Arabidopsis thaliana: one gene and its partner. The protein of the gene in region 1 interacts with the protein of each later gene in a biochemical or structural test. Each region holds a gene or a part of one and is shown in the gene's direction. Other genes may lie near its edges.

What was found. The genes of interacting proteins can lie anywhere in the genome.
Region 2: the proteins of CTR1 (region 1) and ETR1 form a complex in vitro, tested with the Arabidopsis thaliana proteins (2 studies listed by BioGRID).

What each region holds. Positions count from the first base shown.
Region 1 is NC_003076.8:973,019-982,789, reverse strand, and holds CTR1 (Protein kinase superfamily protein), read left to right. Parts: upstream 1-2,940; 5' UTR 2,941-3,129; coding exon 3,130-3,777; intron 3,778-3,952; coding exon 3,953-4,254; intron 4,255-4,351; coding exon 4,352-4,493; intron 4,494-4,710; coding exon 4,711-4,814; intron 4,815-4,949; coding exon 4,950-5,155; intron 5,156-5,512; coding exon 5,513-5,788; intron 5,789-5,978; coding exon 5,979-6,019; intron 6,020-6,295; coding exon 6,296-6,364; intron 6,365-6,444; coding exon 6,445-6,545; intron 6,546-6,634; coding exon 6,635-6,719; intron 6,720-6,813; coding exon 6,814-6,912; intron 6,913-7,145; coding exon 7,146-7,214; intron 7,215-7,317; coding exon 7,318-7,449; intron 7,450-7,563; coding exon 7,564-7,658; intron 7,659-7,735; coding exon 7,736-7,832; 3' UTR 7,833-7,940; exon of another isoform or gene 7,941-8,081; 3' UTR 8,082-8,430; downstream 8,431-9,771. Other genes in the region: HD2C (histone deacetylase 2C), read right to left, coding at 92-303, 381-451, 784-796; HSFA3 (heat shock transcription factor A3), read left to right, coding at 9,107-9,448. UniProt on the Arabidopsis thaliana protein: Acts as a negative regulator in the ethylene response pathway. Phosphorylates the cytosolic C-terminal domain of EIN2, preventing the signaling in the absence of ethylene.
Region 2 is NC_003070.9:24,732,401-24,738,718, forward strand, and holds ETR1 (Signal transduction histidine kinase, hybrid-type, ethylene sensor), read left to right. Parts: upstream 1-1,761; 5' UTR 1,762-1,883; intron 1,884-2,252; 5' UTR 2,253-2,297; coding exon 2,298-3,203; intron 3,204-3,278; coding exon 3,279-3,647; intron 3,648-3,724; coding exon 3,725-3,979; intron 3,980-4,061; coding exon 4,062-4,189; intron 4,190-4,279; coding exon 4,280-4,477; intron 4,478-4,605; coding exon 4,606-4,966; 3' UTR 4,967-5,318; downstream 5,319-6,318. Other genes in the region: AT1G66345 (Pentatricopeptide repeat (PPR) superfamily protein), read left to right, coding at 5,319-6,318. UniProt on the Arabidopsis thaliana protein: Ethylene receptor related to bacterial two-component regulators. Acts as a redundant negative regulator of ethylene signaling.

The sequences.
Region 1 (9,771 bases):
AAAAACAGAGTAAAGCAACAAGTCCCCAAAACATTTTCATCAACAAAGCTTAAAGCGATAACAACAAAAATGTTCAAATAGTAAAGGATATGGATCAGATGCATCAACTTTGTAACCAGAGAAGAAAACGCTCCCATTCTTCCAAGTATGAGACAGCGCAAAGTTCCTTTCCAAGACAATCTCCGTAGACAGCTGAGGAAACTTCTCATGAGATAGCGTTCCAATGAGAAGCTTATCCGATCCAACAGTCACGTAAAGCTGGATTGGTTCGGTTACATTGTTCTTACTCTCTCCCAAAGCAACCTTCAACAAAAATAAACCAAACGTCACTGTAAAATACATTCTTATAAATCAAATTAAGCTTGCAAATTCAAAAGTACCTGAGAGATGTGCACGAGCCTGTCTAGCCCAGGATCTAGGTGAAGTGGTTTGCCATTCTTAACTTCAACACCTGCAAACGCATAGAAAGCATACAAATCAGTAATTCTGCAACAAAATCCCCAAATGAAACCTCTATCGGAGTTAAAACCTAGCGAGAGAGAAAACTTTTCAGTTTTCCCCAATTTTCTACGAAGACGAACAGTCCATACCCTAGATTGTCACATATACTCACTATTCCCGTTTCTCGTTTAGCTAAACAGAAGATTCCATAGAAAAAACAGTAGAAAAACATGGCAAAACGAAAAAAAGCGATGAAACCAGAAGCTAAAAAAAAACTAAATGCAGGAAATGAAGCGCAGAGAACGAAGAAGAAGAAGGAGTAAGATAGGAGATGTTTTTTACCCCAGAACTCCATTGTTGTGCGAGGTAGTGTGATCTTGAAGGCGACGATGCGTCGAAGGAGAAGGAGAAGGTTCTAGAAGAAGCTGAGAGCGATTCGTCTCTCGAGAGCGGTTTTAGGGCGTGTTGATGTGAGAAGGCTAAAATGTCCGCTGGAATTTATTAATCGGAGGAAGGGATTTTAGGGATCCTCTGTTACGCGGTCCACTCGAATATCTCCTTTAGTTGGGCCATGATTTTAAAATTAGCCCAACAAAACTAACGTTTCAAGCCCATACTTTATTTTGACGGCTTTTTTTAACGGTGTCAGGACGGATCGTAACGGACTTTTAACACTTTATTTGACTGACGGAGTTTTCGTCAACATGTGGGGTCTATATATTCATGTCTTCATGACAATATCTATCTCCATTCCTCAAAATAAGTCCCACGGATAAATTGAGCATAATGTATCGCAAAGTTTTAATTTTTTTCTAATCCAAAGAAAAACCAGTTAACAAAATCTGTGAAGAGTTTATATGATAAAACTAAGTACGGTCCCCGACTACGAATAATTAAAATTATTAAATGGATAGTTGCACGAGTGAGAATTAAGGAACACTATTATTATATTAAACACAATTCATTTTAGTTAGATCTATTCGGGGCCTCTCGTGTTTAGATTTAGAAGAGTTCTCGGCATGAATCATGAACATTTTCCAATGCTCTTAAATTTATAGTTTACCAATATTATACTCCGGTTTTACATATCACACATAATTTCGATTTTTTTCAACATATGTGATCATAATCAATTGTTAAGTTTTAATTTATGCGCATAAAAAAATATATGTTTGTATAGTAGTTAAGGAGAATTTTTTTTTGTTATGTTTTAGCACTTTTTGGATTAATACTAGTTTTAAAAGTATGATTTTTTTTTTATTTTTTTTTGTGCACAAATATGATCAAACCCAAAAGTTTCTTTACATAGTAGCAACTTTATATTCTCAGCAGCCATGGCTAAAAAACGTAAGTTAATGACAAAAATGCGTTGAGTGCAATGAACCTGGCAGTATTCGATGAACCTTAGCGGATCAAATGATATAAATATGCAATAGAATTTAAATATTTATTTATTGTCCAAGCTGCGTGGATAGCTTGATAGATAAATTAATGACAGCACATTGACTACCCAAGCTGCGTTGATAAGTACTTGATCAAAATCTTTACATTTTTATGAAGTACTATAATCCAAAGTTAACTTTTAAGCAAAAGATAATTTTTTGTAATGGTTGTGAAAAATTCACTTATAATAACACGAAACATAATGAAGTATTATTAGTTCATTTATATATAATACACAAAAAACATAAAGGCAATAAAAATAACCAAATTAAAAAAAAATGGAGAAGTAGAAAAGAAAACGAAAAAAAAAAAAAAAGAGAGAGATAAGATGCATGCATGGTATAGAAGTCGCAGGCCGAAGACCAGAAATACGAATGTGTTTGAATAGACAAATTAAGGAATATAAAGACAGAAGAGCCCATCCATTTTCGCATACACGAATACATCCCCCTCGACTCCAATTATTTTATTATAGTCCATTCTCTCACTTTCTATTCTAAATATTGTGGACGTTATAAAGGCTTTTTATTTATTTTATGTCGAGTTTTTTAGACTACGTAGAGCCGAATGAAAATTTCATGTTTAGGTATACGAAACTTGGATCCAATGTTACGGATTCAGATTGGTGTAAAAGATCAAATTTGATAGTATTTGGATTTGATAGGCAAGATGGTTTAGTATTTTACACTGTGTATGTTCCTCTTTTAGCTTTGCGTTTTCTACTTTCACTACGATACTACTTTTTATCTTCCAATTTCAGTTGCTTATCACCAAAATATGAAATACCAAATTAATTGTTTAAACAGTTTTATTAGCGATTAAATTAGCACAAAACATATGAATAGATATCATAGTCGAATACAAAAATTAGACAAATAATAATACACTAAAAAACAAACTAAATTGGAGAATTGTTTTGACAAAAAATAAAAAAAATGTCAAAGTTCCATAAAAAGGAGGACAAAAGAGGAATATAACGAAATTATCAACAGAAACGCACCGAGTAAGTTTATTTCCTATGATAACGCAAAAACAAAAAAAAAATCCAATTCCATTAGAGAGAGAGAGAGAGAGAGAGAGAGAGAGAGACTTTTTTAAAAAGTACAAAAAAAAAATGAAAAACTAGAGAGAGAAACAAGTGGCTAGCTAGCTCGCCAAACTTCTTCAACAATGGCGGTTTCCTAGGGTTTGATGTTTATATGATCGGGAAACTCTCTCATCTAGATCGCGATAACTCTCTTTTCCATGGAAATGCCCGGTAGAAGATCTAATTACACTTTGCTTAGTCAATTTTCTGACGATCAGGTGTCAGTTTCCGTCACCGGAGCTCCTCCGCCTCACTATGATTCCTTGTCGAGCGAAAACAGGAGCAACCATAACAGCGGGAACACCGGGAAAGCTAAGGCGGAGAGAGGCGGATTTGATTGGGATCCTAGCGGTGGTGGTGGTGGTGATCATAGGTTGAATAATCAACCGAATCGGGTTGGGAATAATATGTATGCTTCGTCTCTAGGGTTGCAAAGGCAATCCAGTGGGAGTAGTTTCGGTGAGAGCTCTTTGTCTGGGGATTATTACATGCCTACGCTTTCTGCGGCGGCTAACGAGATCGAATCTGTTGGATTTCCTCAAGATGATGGGTTTAGGCTTGGATTTGGTGGTGGTGGAGGAGATTTGAGGATACAGATGGCGGCGGACTCCGCTGGAGGGTCTTCATCTGGGAAGAGCTGGGCGCAGCAGACGGAGGAGAGTTATCAGCTGCAGCTTGCATTGGCGTTAAGGCTTTCGTCGGAGGCTACTTGTGCCGACGATCCGAACTTTCTGGATCCTGTACCGGACGAGTCTGCTTTACGGACTTCGCCAAGTTCAGCCGAAACCGTTTCACATCGTTTCTGGGTATTTGTTCCTGTTAAGCTTTGTTTCCCAAAATTATTGAATCGTGGTTATAGAGATATGGTCCTCTTGTTTCCGAAGTTTCAGTTAGATCTCCTTACCAAAAGTCTATTAGTAGCAAATGAGATATGTTGTTTAGATACATTGCAGAGTATGATTGTTTTGTGTGCTGCATCAGGTTAATGGCTGCTTATCGTACTATGATAAAGTTCCTGATGGGTTTTATATGATGAATGGTCTGGATCCCTATATTTGGACCTTATGCATCGACCTGCATGAAAGTGGTCGCATCCCTTCAATTGAATCATTAAGAGCTGTTGATTCTGGTGTTGATTCTTCGCTTGAAGCGATCATAGTTGATAGGCGTAGTGATCCAGCCTTCAAGGAACTTCACAATAGAGTCCACGACATATCTTGTAGCTGCATTACCACAAAAGAGGTTGTTGATCAGCTGGCAAAGCTTATCTGCAATCGTATGGGGTTTGTACTCATACAATCCTTACTATCCCTTTGAACTTATATTTTTATATCTTCCTGTGATTTCTCACATTGTACTCGTTAATTCTTGCTTCCCCAGGGGTCCAGTTATCATGGGGGAAGATGAGTTGGTTCCCATGTGGAAGGAGTGCATTGATGGTCTAAAAGAAATCTTTAAAGTGGTGGTTCCCATAGGTAGCCTCTCTGTTGGACTCTGCAGACATCGAGCTTTACTCTTCAAAGTGAGATCCCAACTTTGATGCTATCCCCATGACATTTAAGACATCTTGTGAAATGATCATATAAATTATTGTGCTTCATCCATTTGTTTTTATTGGAATACATATGAAGAACGTTGAATGTGAAAAGTGGTGTTATTGATTAGAAAAAAATAGGTTACTGATAGTTGAATGTTCCAAAGAAAAAAAGTATTTTATATCTTCTATTTGGTGCATGCAGGTACTGGCTGACATAATTGATTTACCCTGTCGAATTGCCAAAGGATGTAAATATTGTAATAGAGACGATGCCGCTTCGTGCCTTGTCAGGTTTGGGCTTGATAGGTATGATACAAGTGATTGCGAAAGAGCCTTTATTTTCCTATTTTCTTTGCTTTTTGTTTCTGGAAAAACAATTATAGCTCCAAATGTTTCGCAGAATATTAGGTTGATGACGTGGAAAATTTGTTTTGGTTTCAGGGAGTACCTGGTTGATTTAGTAGGAAAGCCAGGTCACTTATGGGAGCCTGATTCCTTGCTAAATGGTCCTTCATCTATCTCAATTTCTTCTCCTCTGCGGTTTCCACGACCAAAGCCAGTTGAACCCGCAGTCGATTTTAGGTTACTAGCCAAACAATATTTCTCCGATAGCCAGTCTCTTAATCTTGTTTTCGATCCTGCATCAGGTATTCCCATACAAAAAACCTGAATAATATGTTAACTTTTTGCATGCTGCTTACATCTCGTTTTGTATTTCCCCTAAAAGAGTAATCTCCTATCATTTAGGGTATTTCTTGATCATGTCTCAGTATCTGAAGTGTTAGTAGTCTTAGAATGATTCTATTGTTTGTTTTCTTGTCTCTTTTCACTTTAGTTGTTTTTGGCTGTTGATGTGTATGTTTGTTGGTGGGTTCTTTGCCTAATGATATTTAAGGTTAAACTTGTTAGTCTGCTGTTCAAGCTTATGAATTCTAGTGCATTTATGTGCAAGACTTGTCTTCTGGACTCTAATTTCTTATATCTGCTTGTTTGAATGGTTGTAGATGATATGGGATTCTCAATGTTTCATAGGCAATATGATAATCCGGGTGGAGAGAATGACGCATTGGCAGAAAATGGTGGTGGGTCTTTGCCACCCAGTGCTAATATGCCTCCACAGAACATGATGCGTGCGTCAAATCAAATTGAAGCAGCACCTATGAATGCCCCACCAATCAGTCAGCCAGTTCCAAACAGGGCAAATAGGGAACTTGGACTTGATGGTGATGATATGGACATCCCGTGGTGTGATCTTAATATAAAAGAAAAGATTGGAGCAGGTAATAATTTTACGGAAAAATTAATGATTCGGTCTAAAAATGCAAAGAAATATGAAATTCTTGAGGAAGTGGTTTTGCTTTGGACTCTGTTCTCGAACAAAATAAGGAAAAAGTGCCACCCATTTTGAGATTACATTCTTCTCTGTTGCCTTTAATTCTTCCACTCTAATTTGAGCGACTGCTCTTTCAGGTTCCTTTGGCACTGTCCACCGTGCTGAGTGGCATGGCTCGGTAAGAACTTTTTTGTCAGAATTTACGCAGCTGAATTTTTTTTCGCTCTAAAAATTTGGTTGTGACTTTTGGATCTGCTTGGTATTATAAAAGGCAAAGTTATTGTATATGTGACTCTCCGTTCTGTCAGAAATTAAACACGGACAAAAGGTGTCCCATTTTAGATGTATATGTGTCTTTATATCATAAATTTGTCTTCCTGTTTGAATTTTACAATTCTATCACTAGAAGAATTCTAATTTTGATTATTGCAGTAATATTCTCTATCAATTTCAGGATGTTGCTGTGAAAATTCTCATGGAGCAAGACTTCCATGCTGAGCGTGTTAATGAGTTCTTAAGAGAGGTGCACAAATAAAATTTTCTCTTGATTTTGGTAATGAACTTGTTGTATTAATGTCTCCAATGATCTTGATTCGCTGTCAGGTTGCGATAATGAAACGCCTTCGCCACCCTAACATTGTTCTCTTCATGGGTGCGGTCACTCAACCTCCAAATTTGTCAATAGTGACAGAATATTTGTCAAGGTACAATTACTTGGATTTGGAAGGTTTGATGTACTGAGTGTAGAATTTTGGCCTATAATGACTCTAATACCATGATTTCTTTCAAACAGAGGTAGTTTATACAGACTTTTGCATAAAAGTGGAGCAAGGGAGCAATTAGATGAGAGACGTCGCCTGAGTATGGCTTATGATGTGGTATGTTTAATTCCTTATGTTACATGTATGGGTGATTACTTCCTGATCTTGGTGTTTCTTCACATGGAACTTTCTTTCCAATTCTCTGTCACAGGCTAAGGGAATGAATTATCTTCACAATCGCAATCCTCCAATTGTGCATAGAGATCTAAAATCTCCAAACTTATTGGTTGACAAAAAATATACAGTCAAGGTTTGAATCTAAATTAGAAATTGTTGTGTCCAATGTTTTGATTTTGATATTTTATTCCTCTTGTGAGACAAGCTTATATATAAATTATGATTTTTAATTCTAAATTGGTTTGGAGACATTACAAAAAGGCGTTAATCTGCTGAAACTTAAAAGATACAGCAGCCTCAAGCTGTCGTCTTAAAAACAATCAGAACATTATTATTCTAACTCCTCAATTTGTCTTGAAATTTCAGGTTTGTGATTTTGGTCTCTCGCGATTGAAGGCCAGCACGTTTCTTTCCTCGAAGTCAGCAGCTGGAACCGTAAGTTCAGTTTGTTTGAAACTAAAACACGCTGAACAACGTAACTTTCTTCTAGGTCCTATTTCCAATGGAAGCTAAATAATTACTGACTTTGATATATCAGCCCGAGTGGATGGCACCAGAAGTCCTGCGAGATGAGCCGTCTAATGAAAAGTCAGATGTGTACAGCTTCGGGGTCATCTTGTGGGAGCTTGCTACATTGCAACAACCATGGGGTAACTTAAATCCGGCTCAGGTACTTTCCACTCTAAACATCTCAAATAATAATGATATTATTTTGCATTTGGAAGTCCCTCACTCTACATTTCATAACATGCTATATATGATCATACAAAAAAATGTTCCATAGGTTGTAGCTGCGGTTGGTTTCAAGTGTAAACGGCTGGAGATCCCGCGTAATCTGAATCCTCAGGTTGCAGCCATAATCGAGGGTTGTTGGACCAAGTACGTTAAGATTTTCTATCTCTTTTTTGAATTCTTCTTGAATAGACTTCATGTTTATGTATGTGTTTCATTACCAGTGAGCCATGGAAGCGTCCATCATTTGCAACTATAATGGACTTGCTAAGACCATTGATCAAATCAGCGGTTCCTCCGCCCAACCGCTCGGATTTGTAAAATACCCCCGGTCCATTCAAAAGTTGTTATAATCATGATATGCACATATACTCTCAGCATTCTTTTGCTGCCCAGGAGGGAGACACTAGTTAAGATATAGCTTTAAAGGTACATTCCTCATGAGCTATCAATCATATCCTACAGAATCCCATGGTTTTTATACATGTATTATTTTTGCGATCTTTGTCTGCTGTTTTGTTCCCTTTTTAATGTTGCAGATTGTTAAAATGTACATGACTATTGTCACAGGGAGGAAAAAAAAATGTAGTAATGGAAACAATGTGAGGGATATAATCTATCTATCTAGTCCCAAAGGGTAAGCAATATTTTGTTGTTATGTCTTTGTAGCAATGCACTGAAAGCTATATTTAATTACATTGCTGTACATTTATACCGCTAAATTAGTTACTAAGCGAAGGTAAAAAAGAGCAGCTGGTAAATGCTGTCAAAGGGTTTTGCAAACTCAATATGATTCATTGGATTTACATTTGTTCACTGTGCGATTAGTCTGGACTATAAACCAACAGAAATGAAATAAGACTGTAACTTTCGGAGACTCTAATACAGATGAATATAATCCCAAATCGTTAAAAACGCATTGGGACTGAAAATATCTAGATACATAGTCAACTATTTTTGCCTTCGCGTCTAAGTAAGTTCCCACACTTGAAAACGACTTTACCTGTCTTCCGAATTAATCGTTTGATGGATCGGTAACCAATAGGATTGCGTAAATCAAAATTATACAATATTAAATTCTGAAAAAGGAAACACGAAAAGCGAATCAGTGATTTGTGAGGGCCCAGTTCCAAATTAGAAAGCTGACCTGGCAAACGCGCTAAATCACTCCTCCTTTCAAAAATCTCAAGATGACGTGGGACCCACCATCGTCACCACTTTCTCTCCTTCACCAAATCACAGAGAGAGAGAGCTAAGTGAAGCTGCAAGGAAACAACTTTCAATTTCAATGTCGGTTGTACAATTATTTGTCACTAAAGTTTCCAAATTTCTTCTAAACTGATGAATCAATGGAACATGATGACGAAAAAGATAAATCCACGGTGGCGGGAACTGACCCACCCATTTCCACCGCCTCTCTATTCCCCAGATTTTTTTCAATTATCTGACTACAGTTTGTCGGTTACTTCCTTCCCTAAACCTTTATAAACCATTAAACCTCTCATCCTTCTTCTCTTAAACCCCCTAATTATCACACACACCCCAATTTCTCACTCTCTCTCTCACTAAAACCCGTAAATTTTCTACTATATCAAATGAGCCCAAAAAAAGATGCTGTTTCTAAACCAACTCCAATTTCAGTACCCGTTTCGAGACGATCCGATATACCCGGGTCTCTCTACGTCGACACTGACATGGGTTTCTCTGGGTCACCACTTCCCATGCCACTAGACATCTTACAAGGGAATCCAATTCCACCTTTTTTATCCAAGACTTTTGATTTGGTTGATGACCCGACTCTTGACCCGGTCATCTCTTGGGGACTGACCGGAGCTAGCTTCGTAGTTTGGGATCCTCTAGAGTTTGCCAGAATCATACTTCCAAGGAATTTCAAACACAACAATTTCTCCAGCTTCGTCAGACAGCTTAACACTTATGTAATCATCTCTCTTGCTCTGTTTCTGTTTTCTAGATAGACTCATTCTTCTTCTTCTTCTTCTTCTTTCAGTTTTGTTTTGTTTTTATGTTTCTGTAATCTTTTTGATGACCAAAACCATTTTGTATAGATTCTTGAAACTCGTTTTTTGATAACTTGTAAAAAATTACCTGTAATTTTCTTTTCTTTTTGGGATTTGTTTAATCTCTCTATCATGTAACACTGAGTTTTGTATCTATGAAATTTTGGCCTCGATTGGATCTTATAATAACTTCTCATCTGAAATAAGCTTGTAATCTTGTATACTTATGGTTTCGTTTGAAT
Region 2 (6,318 bases), on another chromosome or scaffold:
AGAGTAATCCAAAGAAGGATTTAGGATTTTAGGGAGAAAGAAGAGGACAAAGAAGGAGAATTATGGGATTAGAAGTGAAAATTGTAACCACAAGAGTTACTTGTGGACCAGTGTGAGCCAACCATGTCCTAAGTTTTCTTTCTATTTCGATTCTCTGGTCATTATAGTATTGGCCCCACTCTTTCCCTTAATATCAATTTGGTTCAATCCATATATTTTGGTATTGCGATTTTTATTCTTATTTTAAATTGAAGGACCAACACTTATATATAAAGAATATACACCAATCTATTTATTATTAATTAGATTTAATTTGGAAATCCATAAAATTTAATACAGTAAAATCTCTATAAATTAATAATGTTGAGACCACAAAATTCTATTAATTTATAAAGGTATTAATTTATCGATAAATTAATATTTATTAATTTACAGAGAGATTTTCCAAAAGTGGTAATTTTTTTTTTAATTTCTATAAAAATTTAAGATTCATTCCATTATCTAAAATATATTTTTAGAACCAATTACAAATAGAAATAATTATCATGTCTAGAAAACAACAAGAAAAGTTTTTGATAGAGTAAAAATATTAAAATGAAATAAAAAAAAACTTATACAAATTTAAGTAAAAAAAAAACAATATTAAAATTATATTTCTCTGTAATTTATGATATTAATGGGACCCTATGTTTATATAAGATTTTCAAAAAAACTATTATCTTATTAATTTATCGATTTGTATCACTTTTTACAGTGGTTCCAACTCGGGACCGAAAAAATTTATTAATTTATAGAGATTATTAATTTATCGAGTATTAATTTATAGAGGTTTTACTGTATGTATCAAAATTTCGTGTGTTGAGATTTAATACTGATCTTAAAATGAGATTCAGTTCGAGATAGGCTGATTAGAGCCATCATCTTGAAGGTATATATTAAGATTCCATATTGTAAGTTTGAAGTAATCAACACTAGTATATATGAGACATAAACGTTGGTTGAGAATTGAATCGATGAAATTTAGTTTTGTTTGGATTTTGATTTGACTGGTTAAGGTCTTATGTACATTTTTCGGAGGATTGATTTCAAAAAAAACTAATGTAATAATTTTATATAATTGCTTAATATACTTTTGGTTTAGGATCAAATTTCTGGTTAACTCTGATTTAGTTTTGAGGTACTGAAAACCTATATTATGTCAATTTGGAGATATATTACAGTTAACCAGATATAACATTAGTAGTTTGATATATCTCCAAGTTGACATAATATAGCTTTTATTCACATGAACATATTTGTTTGATTCAACTTGTTTTACTTCTCTTACAACTATATAATGTTTTATACAAACGATTATTTACATAAGATTACACTTAAAACTCATAATTTTATATTGGCTAAACATATATATTGCTTAATCTCCAAATGACATTATCATTCTCCTTTTTTGAAATCATACGAATCAATGTAAGGTGAAAGTTAGTGAAAACAATATTTTGCATTTTTTGGTGAAACCATAAAGATAGTATTTGTTGATAAATATGGGGATATTTATCCTATATTATCTGTATTTTTCTTACCATTTTTACTCTATTCCTTTATCTACATTACGTCATTACACTATCATAAGATATTTGAATGAACAAATTCATGCACCCACCAGCTATATTACCCTTTTTTATTAAAAAAAAACATCTGATAATAATAACAAAAAAATTAGAGAAATGACGTCGAAAAAAAAAGTAAGAACGAAGAAGAAGTGTTAAACCCAACCAATTTTGACTTGAAAAAAAGCTTCAACGCTCCCCTTTTCTCCTTCTCCGTCGCTCTCCGCCGCGTCCCAAATCCCCAATTCCTCCTCTTCTCCGATCAATTCTTCCCAAGTAAGCTTCTTCTTCCTCGATTCTCTCCTCAGATTGTTTCGTGACTTCTTTATATATATTCTTCACTTCCACAGTTTTCTTCTGTTGTTGTCGTCGATCTCAAATCATAGAGATTGATTAACCTAATTGGTCTTTATCTAGTGTAATGCATCGTTATTAGGAACTTTAAATTAAGATTTAATCGTTAATTTCATGATTCGGATTCGAATTTTACTGTTCTCGAGACTGAAATATGCAACCTATTTTTTCGTAATCGTTGTGATCGAATTCGATTCTTCAGAATTTATAGCAATTTTGATGCTCATGATCTGTCTACGCTACGTTCTCGTCGTAAATCGAAGTTGATAATGCTATGTGTTTGTTACACAGGTGTGTGTATGTGTGAGAGAGGAACTATAGTGTAAAAAATTCATAATGGAAGTCTGCAATTGTATTGAACCGCAATGGCCAGCGGATGAATTGTTAATGAAATACCAATACATCTCCGATTTCTTCATTGCGATTGCGTATTTTTCGATTCCTCTTGAGTTGATTTACTTTGTGAAGAAATCAGCCGTGTTTCCGTATAGATGGGTACTTGTTCAGTTTGGTGCTTTTATCGTTCTTTGTGGAGCAACTCATCTTATTAACTTATGGACTTTCACTACGCATTCGAGAACCGTGGCGCTTGTGATGACTACCGCGAAGGTGTTAACCGCTGTTGTCTCGTGTGCTACTGCGTTGATGCTTGTTCATATTATTCCTGATCTTTTGAGTGTTAAGACTCGGGAGCTTTTCTTGAAAAATAAAGCTGCTGAGCTCGATAGAGAAATGGGATTGATTCGAACTCAGGAAGAAACCGGAAGGCATGTGAGAATGTTGACTCATGAGATTAGAAGCACTTTAGATAGACATACTATTTTAAAGACTACACTTGTTGAGCTTGGTAGGACATTAGCTTTGGAGGAGTGTGCATTGTGGATGCCTACTAGAACTGGGTTAGAGCTACAGCTTTCTTATACACTTCGTCATCAACATCCCGTGGAGTATACGGTTCCTATTCAATTACCGGTGATTAACCAAGTGTTTGGTACTAGTAGGGCTGTAAAAATATCTCCTAATTCTCCTGTGGCTAGGTTGAGACCTGTTTCTGGGAAATATATGCTAGGGGAGGTGGTCGCTGTGAGGGTTCCGCTTCTCCACCTTTCTAATTTTCAGATTAATGACTGGCCTGAGCTTTCAACAAAGAGATATGCTTTGATGGTTTTGATGCTTCCTTCAGATAGTGCAAGGCAATGGCATGTCCATGAGTTGGAACTCGTTGAAGTCGTCGCTGATCAGGTTTTACATTGCTGAGAATTTCTCTTCTTTGCTATGTTCATGATCTTGTCTATAACTTTTCTTCTCTTATTATAGGTGGCTGTAGCTCTCTCACATGCTGCGATCCTAGAAGAGTCGATGCGAGCTAGGGACCTTCTCATGGAGCAGAATGTTGCTCTTGATCTAGCTAGACGAGAAGCAGAAACAGCAATCCGTGCCCGCAATGATTTCCTAGCGGTTATGAACCATGAAATGCGAACACCGATGCATGCGATTATTGCACTCTCTTCCTTACTCCAAGAAACGGAACTAACCCCTGAACAAAGACTGATGGTGGAAACAATACTTAAAAGTAGTAACCTTTTGGCAACTTTGATGAATGATGTCTTAGATCTTTCAAGGTTAGAAGATGGAAGTCTTCAACTTGAACTTGGGACATTCAATCTTCATACATTATTTAGAGAGGTAACTTTTGAACAGCTCTATGTTTCATAAGTTTATACTATTTGTGTACTTGATTGTCATATTGAATCTTGTTGCAGGTCCTCAATCTGATAAAGCCTATAGCGGTTGTTAAGAAATTACCCATCACACTAAATCTTGCACCAGATTTGCCAGAATTTGTTGTTGGGGATGAGAAACGGCTAATGCAGATAATATTAAATATAGTTGGTAATGCTGTGAAATTCTCCAAACAAGGTAGTATCTCCGTAACCGCTCTTGTCACCAAGTCAGACACACGAGCTGCTGACTTTTTTGTCGTGCCAACTGGGAGTCATTTCTACTTGAGAGTGAAGGTTATTATCTTGTATCTTGGGATCTTATACCATAGCTGAAAGTATTTCTTAGGTCTTAATTTTGATGATTATTCAAATATAGGTAAAAGACTCTGGAGCAGGAATAAATCCTCAAGACATTCCAAAGATTTTCACTAAATTTGCTCAAACACAATCTTTAGCGACGAGAAGCTCGGGTGGTAGTGGGCTTGGCCTCGCCATCTCCAAGAGGTTTGAGCCTTATTAAAAGACGTTTTTTTCCAACTTTTTCTTGTCTTCTGTGTTGTTAAAAGTTTACTCATAAGCGTTTAATATGACAAGGTTTGTGAATCTGATGGAGGGTAACATTTGGATTGAGAGCGATGGTCTTGGAAAAGGATGCACGGCTATCTTTGATGTTAAACTTGGGATCTCAGAACGTTCAAACGAATCTAAACAGTCGGGCATACCGAAAGTTCCAGCCATTCCCCGACATTCAAATTTCACTGGACTTAAGGTTCTTGTCATGGATGAGAACGGGTTAGTATAAGCTTCTCACCTTTCTCTTTGCAAAATCTCTCGCCTTACTTCTTGCAAATGCAGATATTGGCGTTTAGAAAAAACGCAAATTTAATCTTATGAGAAACCGATGATTATTTTGGTTGCAGGGTAAGTAGAATGGTGACGAAGGGACTTCTTGTACACCTTGGGTGCGAAGTGACCACGGTGAGTTCAAACGAGGAGTGTCTCCGAGTTGTGTCCCATGAGCACAAAGTGGTCTTCATGGACGTGTGCATGCCCGGGGTCGAAAACTACCAAATCGCTCTCCGTATTCACGAGAAATTCACAAAACAACGCCACCAACGGCCACTACTTGTGGCACTCAGTGGTAACACTGACAAATCCACAAAAGAGAAATGCATGAGCTTTGGTCTAGACGGTGTGTTGCTCAAACCCGTATCACTAGACAACATAAGAGATGTTCTGTCTGATCTTCTCGAGCCCCGGGTACTGTACGAGGGCATGTAAAGGCGATGGATGCCCCATGCCCCAGAGGAGTAATTCCGCTCCCGCCTTCTTCTCCCGTAAAACATCGGAAGCTGATGTTCTCTGGTTTAATTGTGTACATATCAGAGATTGTCGGAGCGTTTTGGATGATATCTTAAAACAGAAAGGGAATAACAAAATAGAAACTCTAAACCGGTATGTGTCCGTGGCGATTTCGGTTATAGAGGAACAAGATGGTGGTGGTATAATCATACCATTTCAGATTACATGTTTGACTAATGTTGTATCCTTATATATGTAGTTACATTCTTATAAGAATTTGGATCGAGTTATGGATGCTTGTTGCGTGCATGTATGACATTGATGCAGTATTATGGCGTCAGCTTTGCGCCGCTTAGTAGAACAACAACAATGGCGTTACTTAGTTTCTCAATCAACCCGATCTCCAAAACTCATCCATGGCTTCTTCTCCTTCTCCTCCAAAACTAATCCAAATCCAAACAAACAACAACAAATCCTCATCGACTACATCTCCAAATCCCTCCAATCCAACGATACCTGGGAAACTCTCTCCACCAAATTCTCCTCCATAGATCTATCAGATTCCTTAATCGAAACAATCCTTCTCCGATTCAAAAACCCCGAAACCGCCAAACAAGCTTTATCCTTCTTCCATTGGTCATCCCACACTCGAAATCTCCGTCACGGAATCAAATCTTACGCATTGACGATTCATATCCTTGTCAAAGCTCGATTACTAATCGACGCTCGAGCTTTAATTGAATCGTCTCTGTTAAATTCTCCTCCCGATTCGGATTTAGTCGATTCGTTGTTAGATACTTATGAGATCTCATCTTCTACTCCTTTAGTGTTTGATTTGTTAGTTCAATGTTACGCTAAGATTAGGTATTTGGAATTAGGGTTTGATGTGTTCAAGAGATTGTGTGATTGTGGATTTACTCTTAGTGTGATTACTTTAAACACGTTGATTCATTACTCTTCGAAATCGAAGATTGATGATCTTGTGTGGAGGATTTACGAATGTGCGATTGATAAAAGGATTTATCCGAACGAGATTACGATTCGGATAATGATTCAAGTGTTGTGTAAAGAAGGGAGATTGAAAGAAGTTGTTGATTTGTTAGATAGGATTTGTGGTAAGAGATGTTTACCTTCAGTGATTGTGAATACGAGTTTAGTGTTTAGGGTTTTGGAAGAGATGAGAATAGAGGAGAGTATGAGTTTGTTGAAGAGATTGTTGATGAAGAATATGGTTGTTGATACTATTGGTTATTCGATTGTTGTTTATGCGAAAGCTAAGGAAGGTGATTTGGTGTCTGCACGGAAGGTGTTTGATGAAATGCTTCAACGAG